Linked DNA regions of Caenorhabditis elegans. The protein of the gene in region 1 purifies or fractionates together with the protein of each later gene. This does not show direct contact. Each region holds a gene or a part of one and is shown in the gene's direction. Other genes may lie near its edges.

Region 1 (8,457 bases):
TTTCTGGTGAAATCTAGTACTTTTGTCGTGATTTTAGAAAAAGATTGAAATGACTTCTAAAGTGAATGTCTATTGGAATTCGAGACCTAACCTTTAAATTTAAAGTTGCTTCGCATTTTGATGGTGCGAACGTGGACTATTGATAGTGTTTTGTGGTGCGTTGCGGGCTAAACCGCGACGCCTCTGACGATCTTGCACCCAAATAAATTAAACGTATTTTTCTGATTAAAATTAACATTTCGTCTAGAAAAGCTAATTTTGCACTCATTTGAAAATAATAGCATCTTTCTTTTTTTTAATGAATCCATTTCACATCCATTATCTGATACAAATTTTATTCTAGATGTTTTTCCTAAAGCTCCTCATTTTTCGAATATCTGTATTTAATTCGTTTTTTATTTCCAGAACAGCTGTCCTAAATCATGTTTTTTTTTCAGAAATGCCGTCCATCAGTAAAACGAAAAGCGGGGAGCGCTATCGAGCGCCTACCGATCAAGCTCGTAAAATGGATCGAAAAAAGGAAAACAAGAGAAACAAAAAAGACAGGCAGCAAATAAGACAAGCTATGGCGAAATACTGTAATCTGGATGAGACAACGAGCAAACTTTTGGCATTAGAACGGCAGATCCTTGGATTAGATCCTCAACCGTTCCATATCGATGTTCTCAGAAAGAAGCAGAAAGTGCTGACAGATTCGATTAATAAAAGACGGATGACATTGCAACAGGGAAAAGAAGACGCTGAATTAAAGAAGTTTAATGACAAAATCAATGCATATCAGTCAGATTGTCAAAAACTAGCTGTTCTTGCTCGTAAGTATCATTTTTCTTTTTTTTTATAAATCACAACGTTCATTTTAGAACAAGCTCGTCTTGCCCGCGAAGCTGACCCGGACATGATCCCCTTACCAATGGGAGATGTTTCTACTGCCGGACCTGAAAGAAATAATCAACTACTTGCTCCTGCTATGATAAAGTATGTTAAATAAGTTTTGAGAATTTAAATTTTTAATTATTTTTTAGACGTAAAGTGGAATTTCAACTTCCTCCTAGACCTGTTCGTGTAGCTGGACAAAAGCCTCCTGGGCCGCCTTGTGGATTGGCTCCAAATTTCAGTGACAGCGAAGAAGAAGAAGAGGAAGTGCACGATGATCACTATGACGACATCGATCTTGCGCCCGTACCTAGTAAGGAGTTAATTTCTTAACGAAAGTAATTTTTGAAAAATTTCAGTTCCCGAATTCGACAACCCGTACCAGCCAATTCATAGAAATTGTAAGTTTTTATAGGCCAATTCCAACATTTAAAATTCTTACTCCCTTTTGTCTGGAAATTTTCAAGAAATTCCCACATTAAAAAAAATGTAATAAAAATTATGTTTTGCAAATAAAATTATGTTTTGATTTCCAGACGGACCTCCATCCTCATATAACTCAATGCCAACCAGAATGCCGCACCATCATCACCACCATCACCCACATGCGAGTTCTCATTACAATCCAATGGGTTTCCAAAACCATCACGAAGAAGCTGTTATTTCGTCGGCTCCACAAATTAATCGCAGTAATGAACCTGCTGCTCCAGCAACACTTTCTGCTGCTCCTGAACTACGAAACTTACGACGAGAAACTGTCAAATTAGTGCCGGCACAATTGCTCCGTCGTCCAGGAGACAACAAGACTATCGTCCCACGACAAGCGGCTCCAGTACAAAGGCGACCGGAGGTTCAGAAGCAAGCAAAAAATACCGATGAAGCTTATAATGATTTTATGAAAGAATTGGATGGTCTCATTTGAATTTGGATACTGTTACGAGTTTTCTTTTTTAATTATTGGCGTTTAAAATAAAAAATTATTTCTAGTTCCACGATATTATTTTCAGATTAACTTTTCAATTGCTTGTTGTTTAAACATCAAATCGCTTTGATATTATTTCTAATAAAAAACGGGTATCCCCGCAAATACGTTCGCAATGTTCGCAGAGAAAGTCAGAGACGCAGAAATGCAAACAGTGCGAGAGTGTGCGTCGGCCATGAGAGAAACGAGAGAGGCATCCGAGTCTCCCACTTTCTCTGCCGGTCTCACCACGATCGATCGCGGTCTCGCAACGCTCTTCACTTTACAGTTTCCATTCAGCTTTTCCTTTTAAAACTGTTTCTTCCAGGTTTCGCCTGAATCTCCTAACTAATAATGACAGGCAGAGGCCATTCCTTGAAAGGTTAGTAAGCAAATAACAGAAAAGTATCACAGAAATACAATTTCTCGCAGAAAAGGTATTGCGAAATCAGAATAACTTTGAATTGAAGATTTTCAAAACATTTTCTTTAAAAACGGAAGATTTACAGTGATTTTTGAACAATAGCAGAAAAACTGTAAATTTAATTATTTGGAAAAAGCATGGCAACTTTATTTGTTCTTCCAAAATTAAAAAAAGCCAACTCTACAGGTGTAGCACATTCAAATCCCGATAGTTCTTCCGACAGTCGACGGGGCAGAGGGCGAGGTACCCGTAGATCGCAACTTCCGACGACAAGCCATGCCGATGAGCAATCCGAAGAGCACGAATTCAGAGAAGACGAGGATCCAGAATTTTTGAATGAAGATCACGAAGATGATACTTTGGTTGAAGGAGATGATAGATCAGATATGGATAAGATTAAGTGAGACTTAATTTTTAAATCGAATGCTTATTTAATCAATCTTATTTTTCAGGCAAATTCAACAACAAAAAATGATGATTGTCACACCGATGGCTCAGAAACGTACACGTGGCAGACCACCTAGACAGAGGACTTCAAGCCAAGCTCAGATGCCTGACGATCTCATGGATGAAGAGCTGATGAGTCAAGATTTGTTGGAATCTGGCCCACTGGAAGGTCCGGGATCGTCTGATCGTAAGCCTGCGCCTCCTGTGCTGGTTGGACGAGGCTCGCGGGCTCGTAATGCTCCGAAAAAGCTGAACGATTTTGTGCAGCATCACCAGTTAGCGAATAAAAAGATGCAAATTCAAGAAATTTCGATTCCACTCCCACTTGCTCCAAATGCGGGAATTGAAGATAATATAGAGCCACTTATACCAAATGATGCTCACATTGAGGAAGTTCGCCACGAAGTTGTTGAAAAAGATGTTGTGAAATCAGTGATAGAACGTGATCGAGATGAAGATCAAGAACAAGAACATGCGTCGGTGGCCGATCCAGCTGGTCCTCCTCCGGCACCAGCACACCTTGCGAACAAAGCCAATAGTAGAGGCCGTCCAGCAAATCCTATTCCACCACATCGACGTCCTGTGCCGAAAGATCTTGTTCCTCCTGGCTTCCCGAGTTTGAAGCGAGCAAGTTCTCAGAGAGATCCTACACCAATTAAGAGGAAGGACACAAGGGAAGTCGCTGAAAAAGTGCAAGAATCGCATAGGGATCCCGAGCCAAACGATGCTCCACCTTCGCCACTTTCAATGTCAGAAGTTCCAATTGCTGCACATCAAGTTGAGATTGAAGATGAAGTAGTGCAATCTGGATCTCCGATTGATATAGTGACGGAAGTGGAATCCAATGATGGTCCTCCACCAATGCCACCGATGCTCCTGCAGCAGCAATCATCTCAAGCTTCTTCGTCTACTGTACCATCAGCTTCTCAAGGAGTTACCGTACCATCCACTGCATTAGATGCCACAAAGAAAAAAGAGCGTGAAGCTGGAAAAGATCTCCCATCAGAACATTTTCCAAAGGAGAAAGCTCGTCATGTTTCCACAAGAGGACTACATCCATACGTATCCGATAAATCTCATATTTATGACGTACGAGATCAAGTTCTTATACATCCTGAAGATATGGAACAACAAGAACAAGATGCAATTGCTCAGCAAAGAGTTTTGACTCTTCAGGGAGGAAATTTCATTGAAGATCGTATTGGTAGATCTGATTTAATGGAAGATGAAGAAATGAAAATGATGAAATCAATACAACCACAGCAATATATTGTGGAGGAAAATGGAATGAATGTCGTTTATGAAGTTGATCCGAATAGTGTTATTGAAGAAGAAGAACAAGTAGAAATTCAAGCAGCAGAGCAACAAGCTGAGCAATATGTGATGGATGAGCACAGTAAGCAAGGGGAGATGGAAGATGAAGAAGATGACGATCTTCCACCACAACTTGTCCCAGAAGGAGTACCAGAAGATGCAGTTGGAGATGATGAACGTGACGAACAATCACAAGAGAAAGGTCTGGCTGTTGATGAGGATGGTAATTTCGACTTTAATATGATGGACGAAGGTGAAATGATTCGATTGCAATCTCCTGGCGGAAGAGCACACGAAGTGCGTTTTGCTCGAGATGTTCATGGAAATTCAGTGTTTATTGATGAGAATGGGCATATTGTGGAACTGGTAACCGATACAGGAGCACTTGTGGAGCCGCATAATATGGTGGAGCAGGAACAGCAAGTGATGCAGGAAGAGGTGGAACAAGAAGATGTTAAGAATAAACAACAGATTCGACAACATCAGCAGCAGCAACAGCAAGAAGTACCAGGCGGCCAAGAAGGTGAGCTTACACTGAATAACTGGATAAAGGTGGACTACGGCCAGTTGGGAAATCATTGAAACCCATTCAAATATAATGCTAAAATTAACTAATTTTAAATACGCTAAAAATTTGATTTTTTTCGATTTAGCAGACCTTTTTTGATTTCAAATCAAAAAAATTCCAATTTTTTAAGAAAAGTTTTACGATATTTACTTATTTAGCATCATATGTATGAACGTAGTCCACCTTCAAATGTGTTTTTAGTTTCAAAATGCTAGCTAAAGAAAAATTTTGCAGGAGCCGGCCCTGTGGATCGTGGAAATTTGGAATTCAGCTTTCTGGACACGAATAATATTTGCTGTGGCCTTTGTGGAGAAATAGTTGTCTATGATAAACTTCTCACGGAGCATCTTCCAACTGCTCACCCTGAATATCTTTCACCTGGAGTAGAACTTGAAGAAGTCCCGTACGACAGTTGGCTTAAAACACGCCTGAAACAAGAGTCAAAGATGATGGAGAACGGATTTCGTCACTATGATGATCACGATGGTGGTGGATTTGGTGGAGCTGTCAGACTCTACTCAAAAGGAATTCGACAAATGAGAAAAGTCAGTCAAATTCGTGTAAATGTCAATGAGATGACATTGCCGCAACTGGAAGTTGCTCTGAAAAGAAAGCTCGTCGAGAAAATGGGAAGAAAAGTTCCAGTTTCCCTGGTAGATCGACTTCACGCAAGATGTGATATCTGTCAAGCTGTGGTGTCATTAAATAAAAAATTCGAAGTAATACACCTCGTTCGTCACTTCAACGCGTGGCATCCTGCAGAACATCGATGCTCTCAGGATTGGCGGGATCCGGGATCAGCGACTACTAGCACTTCAAGACGTCCACTTTCACTGAGCGATTTTTCTGTTGTTAGCACTGAATCCGCCGATCAAAATAATCTGCAATGCATTTGGTGTGGAATGATGATGGATCGATCAGCGCTTGGAATGCATTTCTCAGAAGTTCATGCTCAACAGATTGCGGTGCCTAATTGCTCGCTGTGCCTTCAGGAGATGGTAATGACTGCTCGATTAATGGAGAAATACGGGGAAGACTTTGGAATTAGTCTTCCAGATGAATTTCACCTTCAATGTTCCAAACTAAATGCGAAATACAGCTCGGAGAAAGCTATGGATAAGGCTATAGACAGACATTTGAAAAGAGCGAAGCCTGGAGTTGATCAACATGATCCAGATGATTCGCATGAAGATGCAGAAGCGGTAAGAACATTGGAAGTAGTTTGTAGCCGATTTCACTAAATTCTTAAAGATAAAAATTATTTAAAAAAAGGGAAATTCTCGATTTTAAAAGGCGCACTTTTCTGCGTCTCCATAATATTAGTTTTAATTATTTTAACAGAATTTCATTTTTTTAGTCATTTTGAATCTCAAAAAGCAAAATATAGTTTCTTTCAGATCTGCACCACAAACAGTCAACAATCATTTGGTCGCCGCAATCGTCTGAAGCGAAAGTTTGTAAAACCATGCTTCCGACAAATCTGTCCCAATAATTCATCGTATTTCGAACCAAAATCTGCTTGTGAATGGAAGTGCCGTCTCTGCAATCGTAACGTTTACGGTGCTGTAATCTCTGCTGGAGCTATCAAGCACTATAAAGAATTCCATCCAGCCGAAACGGAGCATATGCAATATGAACTTGTCAAAGCACGTTTAGAGCGAATCGGTGATGGATCCATGGAGTTTGTTCATCCACAATTGGTTGAATGTCTGATTTGTAATCTAACATATGCTCTTCATAAGCCTTTCAATATTTGTCGTGCTATTCGCCATCTTCGTCTCAAACATCCTGAAGTGATGCCTGAAACTGCTGGAAAGCCAATCAGTGGCGCTGAAATTTCTGAAACTACTGACCTTCAAACTACAATCAGACGACCTAATATTCGATTTGGTGACACTATTACGGATCCAATTGAGCTGGAAAGATTCCGAAAAGATAATTTCGATCAGCAATTTGACAAGGTCCAAATTGTCTTTGGAATCAAGAAAAACAACGAGCCAGCTTACATTTTGCTTATGGAAAATGAGAAGATGGATTTAAAAATGGCACAAGAAATGGCTGGCAAAGTGCAAACAGAGGAAGATACTTCACAAGAAAGTCGATTCGATAGATTAGTTGGAAGAGATGAAACTCCACAATTCGAGGAATCTGAACCATCTACAATGTTCCGCGAAGAAACCAAACCGATGGCTCTTGAATTCCCACAACAGATTGTAGAAGAAGAAGTTGAAGAAATGGAAGAAGTTCCAGTGGAGACTGAGTTCATTCCAACATATGACGCCAATAATCCGGATCATGTGCTCATTGATGAAAATGAAATTATGGTATGCTTTGACTCCTGATTTTCTGATATTTCATTGAATTACTTTCAGAACGACGGCAACTACGAGATGATCCAGGAGGGCGAGTATCAAGAGATTGAGGAAGATAGAGTATGTCTTAATTTTTGGTTTAATTTCAAAAAACATATATTCAATTTCAGACTGTCCGTTACCTCACTGAAGATGAAATACGTGAAGCTCAGGCACGTGGAGAAATACTCGAATTCGAGGAAGGCGAGTATGTCGAGGAATATGCCGTGCAGCAATGATAGTCAATAACGACTTCTCAATTTTTGTCATAGATTTTTATTTGCTTTTTCTAATCATCATTTCTTATCCCCTGGGTTATGATATTTTAATATCTAGTTTTTTCATTCTTTTACTTTGTTCCAAATTTGAAATTCCTTTTATGTTGACCTACATTCTCCCATCTTTTTTATTACCGGTCCAGAAAGTGTTAATGACACACAGCTGTCTACACTATCTGGAACGGTAATATCGTGCCAAAGCGATCGTTCCGTGAACACTGCAATTCCGTACAGTCGGGACCCCTTTTGCAACTGTACACAGATCGATCGCTTTGTCGTTAAAATAACCTAGTTACCAATTCAATACCCCATCCAATATATGAATTTAATTCATGTTCTGCATTATTTGATCAAATCTTGAAACATTTATTCACATTATGTACAGAGGAAATATGACGAAAAACATCTAATCTACATGTGGGAAAATGATGATTATTAATGTATTCAATAGGATTCTTTTTTATATAAATATTAGTGATTCATTCAGAAAAAGGCGTTCACACTTTTTCGGTTTTAGCAGCGTCGTTGTTGGCTGATTGCTGTGCCGGATTGGTTGGTTGCTTGGGTGGTTGGTTGAATTTCTGAATAAAAAGCAAAGAGGTAAAAGGATAGAAAACCAAGTATTTTGTGCAAGAGAAAATTAACCCAAAGTGTGCATCGATGAAACTCGAAAATAAATAAAACAACCGAAAAAAAAGATTTACCTCGACAACACTGGAAACCCGATTCTCCTGTTTTCGGTAGATTCCTGTCTTTGAAATGATTCGGAGAAGTCCCTCTCTGAAAATTATCTCATTTTACTTATCAATAGTTGCCAAAATTTTTCATTTATTGAGCCAATAATAATGTACTTGGTCTCGACACGAAGTTAAGTGCGAATGGTGTGCGCCTTTGAAGATTACTGTAGTTCCAAACTCTCGTTGCTGTGGAATTTTCAGTGACTTTTCATAGTTTTTTGATAATTTTTTTGAAGCTACAGCACTCTTTAAAGGCGCACACCTTTTTGCATTCAAAAAAAATTGTCGTGTCGAGATCGGGAACCGTCAAGTCAAGACCCGGTACCGTGCCCCTTCGTTTGACTTGTACTTTATTGTAATTACCTGTACGGAGCGATGAAGATAAATGCAACCAGTGGGCTCGATGACGGAATGCAATCCATCAAACGGAATGTTATGTTCTCAGGGATTGGTCCATCGATGATGCCAAATTCGGCAAGTGTAAAGATTCCAGACGCAACGAGC
Region 2 (7,076 bases), on another chromosome or scaffold:
TTTATTTTAAATATGAAATCTGTATCGCCTTAGCTTTAGGGTACCTCCAAGAGCCACGAACGCCCTTACGAACAATGAGAAGAACTGAGGTGAAAGATCTTCGCCACAACTTGCACCTTTTTTTGCACGTATATTAAGCTGTTTTCTAGGAAATTCGTGGATCACACTTCAATTTTGTAATCATGCTTCCCGCTACTCCTGCTTCTCAGAACGATGTGAAATGTGCTTGTGGCATTGAATTTTTAGTGAGAGTTCGAAAATCCTCTTGTGAGTTGGAAACGCATAAAGACATGCTCCCATCTGTCATTCTTTCTTTTTTTCTACTCCCCCCTTGACCCGTCACAATTTCCGTTGCACTTTCAATGTCTCTCATCATCTTCATTTTTATCGAAGCAGTCATTGACCCGAATGTTAGATTACTTGATTACTCACTTGCGCTCACGTTTTAAAATTTTGTGCTTGAAAATGTTTCTGCTCTAACTATATAATTTGTATTCAAATGTACCTTGAAAAAGCAGAATCAAAATAATTATAGGACACATGAGTCAGAATCTATTCCAAACATCAGTGCAAGATAAGCTACATTCTTGAAAGAAGAGAAAAATGTTAGTGCTCTCTTAAAAGTGCATCCGCATCATCCCTCTTATTTGGCCAGCAGCCGTCGTTAGCCAAGACACACAAAAAAGTGAAAGAACTATGTTTTACTCATTTCAATAAAACAGCCTTCTTTCTTCATCAACCCCGCCGAGTATGCACTTTCTGACTTGATCCCATCGTCATTCGCACATATGCTTTTGAGTTCAATTTTATTTTCTCTTGTTTTCATTGCTTTATTCTTTAAAATAGTGCGGTTTGCTGAAATTTGTTTGGTACTTGTGTATTATATCCCCACCATTTTAAATGAATATTTAAAAGTATTAAAAAAATATTCCTATTTTCCTATTTTTACTTTAGCACAGTAAGTAGAAATTTTGAATACGATCAATATTTCTCTTCTTGTAGCTGGAATAATTGCTGGGTAGCACACTCAAAAGTTTATGTCGTCAAACTAACTTTTCTAGTAATTTGTGAAAACTGCGCAAAGTAAAAGTATGGCTGAATTCCTAAAGAGCTGAAATGACCAGATATAAAATTAAACTTTGCAAAAAAATTTTTTATTTTTTATTTTTTTTTGTTTCAAGTTAAATGAGGTAAACCCTAGTTATGACCAATTTTTAAAATTTATATTGGATTGCATTTTTTACATTTTCTTTTTTATTTCCGTTCAACTTCCTTGTGTTTTTTCGCGGGTTGGAGCATTGAATGTTGATGTGTGCTTTTTCACCGTGCTTCACACAAAATGTAGGCGGAGATTTTAAAGTGGAAAATGGTGAAGAAGCGCGCCGTCACTATAGATATTCGTTGTGTTCTCAAATATTTCCTGAACAATGTCCCCGCACTTTAGAATTTTGCGAAGCGAAAAGTGCACATTTTATCTCAATATTATATCCAAGGTCTTAAGTAACTTTACTAGTTCTGCGTCAGCTACAGTAAGACGATACAATTTCTAATCTGCTTCTAATCTGTTTCTTGAAGCGATGTTGAGCACAGAATTCAAAAACGTCTCATTTTGTCGAAATTAGAGTATTAATCATGAACTGAAACTGAAAAACTTACATTTGTGTTTTGATACTTCTATGCCCTAAGTTCAACTTTGCAACAGCTTTTCGTAATCTTTTCTACTGAAGCTGAAAAGCTTGCATTTGTAATCCATCGTTTTACATATTAGAAATACGACAAATTGGTGCTAATAGGATAGATTCGTTGAATAGTCATTATTTTCATCGTTCAAAACCACTCTATTTCGCTATTTAAACTCAAAATCAAGTTCGTTTAAAACTGGAGCACGAGAGAAAATAATTTCTGATTTCCGTAACAATATTTGCGTAAACTAGCTTAAAGTAATATTTACTAAAACTTTCAGATGAAGATGGAATGTATGTTCCTCTCAAACCAAGAATTAGACATACCCATGGAACTCCAAAAATGCTGTATGTCCATTGACCATGCATCTGAAAGTGTTATTGAAAGACCAGTGGAACTAACGTGCCTGTCCAACGTCGTGAATGGGACGGGAATCAGTGACAAAATCGCATCAGGTCGTTTTGGTACAGTCTTCTTAGGAACTATTACGGATTCAATGTTACAGGTATGTACAAAAAAAATTTTCGGCAAACGGCAAATCGGCAAAATGTAGAAATGCAAATTTCCGGCAAATCAGCAATTTTCCAAATTGCCGATTTGCCGAATTTGCCGAAAATTGTGGTTTTGCACATTAAAAAAATTAAAACAAATTCCTCTAAAAATTTCCGGCAAATTAATAGCCGGCAAACGACAATTCGGCAATTTGCTAAAAATGAAAATTTCCGGCAAATGGGTGATCAGTACATACCTTTTTTAACTTTTATAATAAAACAATGTAAGGAAATTACGGAATTTATCATCAAAATTTCTTAAAATATTGCATATTCTGCTGCTAAACCCCTGATGGACAGCTAAAAAATACACATTTTTCACTAGTGTTTCTATACAATTATATGTATTCTTCAGTTCCTTTTAGTTCAAAATACCTATAGAGCTTTGGTTTATAATTATTTTTAACATTTTTTGCACACGCTATTAAAAGTGCAATCCAAGGTCAAAAAATTGAGCAGGTGTTACAACGTTTGACCGCTTTCAGCTGTTTTAGTGTCGTTATTTCAAAATTGAATTCAAGGTTGCAATCAAAGAGTATCACGAAACATTTCATGATGCCGTGCTAACTGCACACGATGAAGGCTCCACTCTTCAGAAAATAATTTCTATCGAGCATCCGGCTATTGTACAGACTTTCTCGGTGACTGATATTTGAAATTTTTGTACTTATTGTTTTTTTTTTCAGGTTTCTCATTTTCAAGATATAGTGTATAAAGTAATGGAGTTCCATTCTTGGACTTTACACGGTAAGGCATGTATCAAAAAGTTTCAACATTTTCGCTACTCCACCACTATAATGTACTTTTCAAAAATAGAGTTAGTGAGTAACATTGATTAGTTGCAGAAAAACGTGTGTACTTCGAAAAAATTGATCGAACGAATAGTAGGATTACTTTCTACTATTGTATCTTTTCATTCTCTAAATGTTAATCTTTTCAGACGACATTTTGGACAAAGGCAAGTACGACGAGTCCCAGACTAAGCTTGTATTGGTACAAGCCACAAGAGCTCTCGAATATTTGCATGCACAAAATCTTTGCCATGGGACGCTTCATGTAAGAAACTCGGAAAAATTAGTGATATACGCAATAGGTCAACGATTTTGCAGACAAAGAATATTTTCTTGCAAGAAAATATGGTCAAAATTTCGGATATTGAAAGCTCCCAATTTTTGAACTGGCTCCCATTCAGCCAAACACCACTGCACATTCTTCCATTTATTGCTCCAGAATTGCACAATCAGTTATCAGAAGTGACTTCTGAATGCGATTTATGGGTAAAAACTACTCTTATAGTGCTAAAAGGACCAAATATCAAAGTTACACTTTTAAAAAAACTTGGGAAGTTTTTTAACAACTGTCAAAAAGTGACAATTACTTAGATTTTGCCAGTTATATTTTTGGAAGTCAACCAAAAAAAAAGTTCTACAATATTCAACTTTATATTAGTTTAAATTGCTCGTGTAAAGACATTCTGGATTTTCTTAAAAGTTCAAAATCAGCACCTTGCCAAAACTTTGACTGGAAATTCTTAAGAAATCTAAAAAATGTTTGGAGTGTAATAAATGTACTTAAACAAAATCCCCATTTATTCAGAGTTTGGGTGTGTGCATTTTTGTTATGGCTACTGGATCTTGTCCGTTCATTTTGGAAAGCCGCAACACTATGATGGAAAGTATTCAAGCTGGTATCCTAGGTTCCCCCGTTCTTGCCAGTGACAAAATTCAATCGCTAGTGGAACAGCTGATTCATGTAAACCCATCTGAACGCATGTCACTTAAATCTTTAATTGAAGATGATTGGATGACTTCTGACCTAGTTTGGAACTATTTTGTAAGATTAAAAAAAACCATTTCAAAACAGCATTAGCTACTATAATAGTATTCCAGATTTCATGTCATGAAGATCTCATTAGAGAGTTGCCAGTAGTTGATAGATTCATTCCGGCAGAGTCCCTGGAAAAGAGCACAGTTCAGAGAGACGGCTCAGAAATCTCCATCGAAACCTTAGATGAGGGCTACAAAAGTGTAGCATCAGATCATCCAGAAGAGCCAGCTGTCTCTGGAGAGCAACAAGTCTTGACTGAACCTGTGCCAAAAAAATATCACAAAAAGTTTGCAGTGGTTTGTGCACAAATTTTTAAATGGTGTTCAAAAAAACAGAAATATTTTCCAGTTTGCAATGGAAAACGTCCGTAAGGAGTGGGACAATGACATCACTCGCATTGAGAAATGCAAACTGGTATGTTTTTTTATTTACGAATTACGATGAGAACGAAACTGATATTTTCAGAGAGACGGAAGCATGTGCTTGAGAATCGTCATTCCAGCAAAAGATGAAATTGCCTCTTCGTCAATTTTCAATCGCATAATAAAAAGCCGTTTGGGTCAGACGATCAAGCGCTTCCGATCACATCAAGATACTGTAGTTGATTCGGATTTTGGAGATTACGCACTTATGGTAGGATATAATTATTTTTGTCATCTTATGGTTTTTTTTCTTCAGAACTTCCGCAGAGAAAACACCGAGATTGAAGTTGCTCGAAACATGCCAAAGTTCACGAACAAACAGCAAGTTCAGCTCTACTATTGCAAAAAGGAAGCCGAACGTGTCTGGGAAAATCTGGCGGTGAGAGTGTTTTGTTTGGGTAGTTTTAAAATCTGTATGATTTTCAGATAAAAATTTGCATGCGATGTCGAAGAGCTGGAACTGATGCTTTGAATCACGACGAGGATAAGTGTCTTTATAAGCTGATTGCAGAAGCTGTGGAGAGTGAAGAAGTGATTTATTGTGAGTTGGAATTTAGATAATAATAGAAATTCTGATTTAAAAAAAATGTTTGAAGTTTAATGGCTCAAACAGAGTTTCAGAATTAATAGTGGGGAAAATTATTAAAAATCAAATTGCTAAAAATGGCTAAAATTGCTAAAATGACCATTTATCAGTTACTCCACCTTTAACAACATTCCGAAAAATATTTTTTTGTCGACTACCGTAATTTCAAGTTTCTAATTGTTTTCAAACACAATTCGTCTGCAGCAAAGATTTCTAATTTTAAACCAAAAATGTCGAGAGCATTGTTTAGCTATACAACGAAACGTTTCAAAATATTTTGGAAAATTGGTTGTATGTTCTAATTATATATTATAGGTTCAAACCAGTTACATTGCTTTAGATTTATTGAAAAGTGGCCAACATAGTGAGTTTCACTACCTCTTGAAAAATGTTCAAAATTTTTTAGAAAAAATTTGTTATGGTATTTGATCATTTTAGCATCATAAGAATGGGTTTCAATAATTTTCTTATTTAATGTTGCTATGTCGTTTCAGATGGCGCAGAGGATCAATTCAATCTCCGTTTCTTCTCTCTTGTCTACAGAAATGACGGTGGACGTGCATCCGCAATGACTCGCTTCCGTAGAGGTTCAATAAGAGTTCTAACCTCTGGATACCGGAGAATTGTGAAACGTTTTCGACGACAGTCAACTTCTGGATCTGGTTCTTCTGGGTTGGGTTCGGACAATTGAAAATAAAAGTTTAGACGAGATTTTTGTTTTCATAAGTTCTAATTTTGTTTCTATGTATCGCTTTGTATGTAAATGACATTTTTTGCTCTGTTAATAAGTTGAAAGCGTGCAACCTTTTCGAGTAATTAATTCAATTCAATGTTCAAAAGAAAATCGATTTCTATTATTCAATTAAAAAAAATTTCTACCCATCTCAATATATGCACATTTTTCCAATTTCTCATGATTAATTGTAGCTATTACTGCGTTGTACAACACATTCCAAAAGTAATATTTTTTCGTATCGTATGCTGCAACCTCATATCCATATATTCCATCTCTCTTTTTTCTCTCTGTGAATTGTATAAAAATAAATATTTGAAAATTACAATTTATCAATCATAATAGTAAATTTAAACTTAATACCCGAAATTGGAGAATTCAAGATAAAACATAGTGACGTTCCAATGACGTCATGAAAGTGCAAATGACCAATGTAAAAAAAGATGATGAGGGAAAAAATATTGTGCTAACAAGTAAGAAGCATACAAATGTTAAGGGGGTTTTTTAATTGCACCACATAACGGCAGAGCACCTTGAAATGGTTTTGACAAGCACACTTAAAAATAATTAAAGCACGTTTAAAAAAAAAGATTATCAAATGATCGAAGTGTTTTATCGAGATTGTGATGAATGACTAAATGAATGATATGTTTAAGTCAAGGTTTAAATCAGACAAAGGCGGGTTCCGGAGCACTTGCACAGCATGATGTGAACTTCCCTTTATCGCTTTTGATGACTCCGTCAACGTGGAAGGCCGATGAAAACTCCTAAAAATGGCATATTTATTGAAAGATAATTAGCATATAAATTGCATCCGGATATTGTCTGTCTTACTAACCTCGTTGTCATCCGACTCATCCGAATGCATACTGCCAGCCGTTATTCGTTCTCTCATTGCAGCTGTCAAAGTGTGAAATGCTTCTTCGCAGTTTATCCCTGGAAAACGACAATCAGTGTGGAAAAAATAAATCTTCAAGTTTCCGTGTTTGTTCTCACGTTCTAGAGGCGGAAAAGTGCCAGTGAGAAAATTTAAAAAAAATCACTTTCTGAGAAAACTATAGGACTTTGGCATGTTCAAATCCCTACAATGTTTGATTATTTATTATCGCAACATAAGTAGACCATAATAGTAAGTCAACTTTTAAAAACAAAATAAATGTAGAAATACATTAAAAAATACTTGATTAGTCTAAAAATAACATTTAAATTCATTTAAAATTTTCAAAACTTACAAAAACTTAAAAACTGTCTAAAACTTGCCAATTGCCAAAAGA

What was found.
Region 2: the proteins of gsox-1 (region 1) and K02E10.7 fractionate together in Caenorhabditis elegans (co-fractionation; one large-scale study listed by BioGRID). This does not show direct contact.

What each region holds. Positions count from the first base shown.
Region 1 is NC_003280.10:10,172,486-10,180,942, forward strand, and holds gsox-1 (C2H2-type domain-containing protein), read left to right. Parts: upstream 1-2,162; 5' UTR 2,163-2,188; coding exon 2,189-2,216; intron 2,217-2,444; coding exon 2,445-2,658; intron 2,659-2,710; coding exon 2,711-4,542; intron 4,543-4,821; coding exon 4,822-5,789; intron 5,790-5,984; coding exon 5,985-6,911; intron 6,912-6,959; coding exon 6,960-7,019; intron 7,020-7,069; coding exon 7,070-7,177; 3' UTR 7,178-7,555; downstream 7,556-8,457. Other genes in the region: WW domain-binding protein wbp-11, read left to right, coding at 440-812, 861-975, 1,023-1,186, 1,233-1,274, 1,410-1,795; srd-1 (Serpentine receptor class delta-1), read right to left, coding at 7,714-7,797, 7,921-7,996, 8,317-8,457.
Region 2 is NC_003284.9:2,500,045-2,507,120, reverse strand, and holds K02E10.7 (Protein kinase domain-containing protein), read left to right. Parts: upstream 1-1,963; coding exon 1,964-2,188; intron 2,189-2,755; coding exon 2,756-2,875; intron 2,876-2,920; coding exon 2,921-2,981; intron 2,982-3,174; coding exon 3,175-3,290; intron 3,291-3,343; coding exon 3,344-3,511; intron 3,512-3,830; coding exon 3,831-4,067; intron 4,068-4,123; coding exon 4,124-4,357; intron 4,358-4,409; coding exon 4,410-4,475; intron 4,476-4,526; coding exon 4,527-4,694; intron 4,695-4,739; coding exon 4,740-4,862; intron 4,863-4,909; coding exon 4,910-5,024; intron 5,025-5,563; coding exon 5,564-5,760; 3' UTR 5,761-6,134; downstream 6,135-7,076. Other genes in the region: rabr-1 (RAB family), read right to left, coding at 6,471-6,569, 6,641-6,738.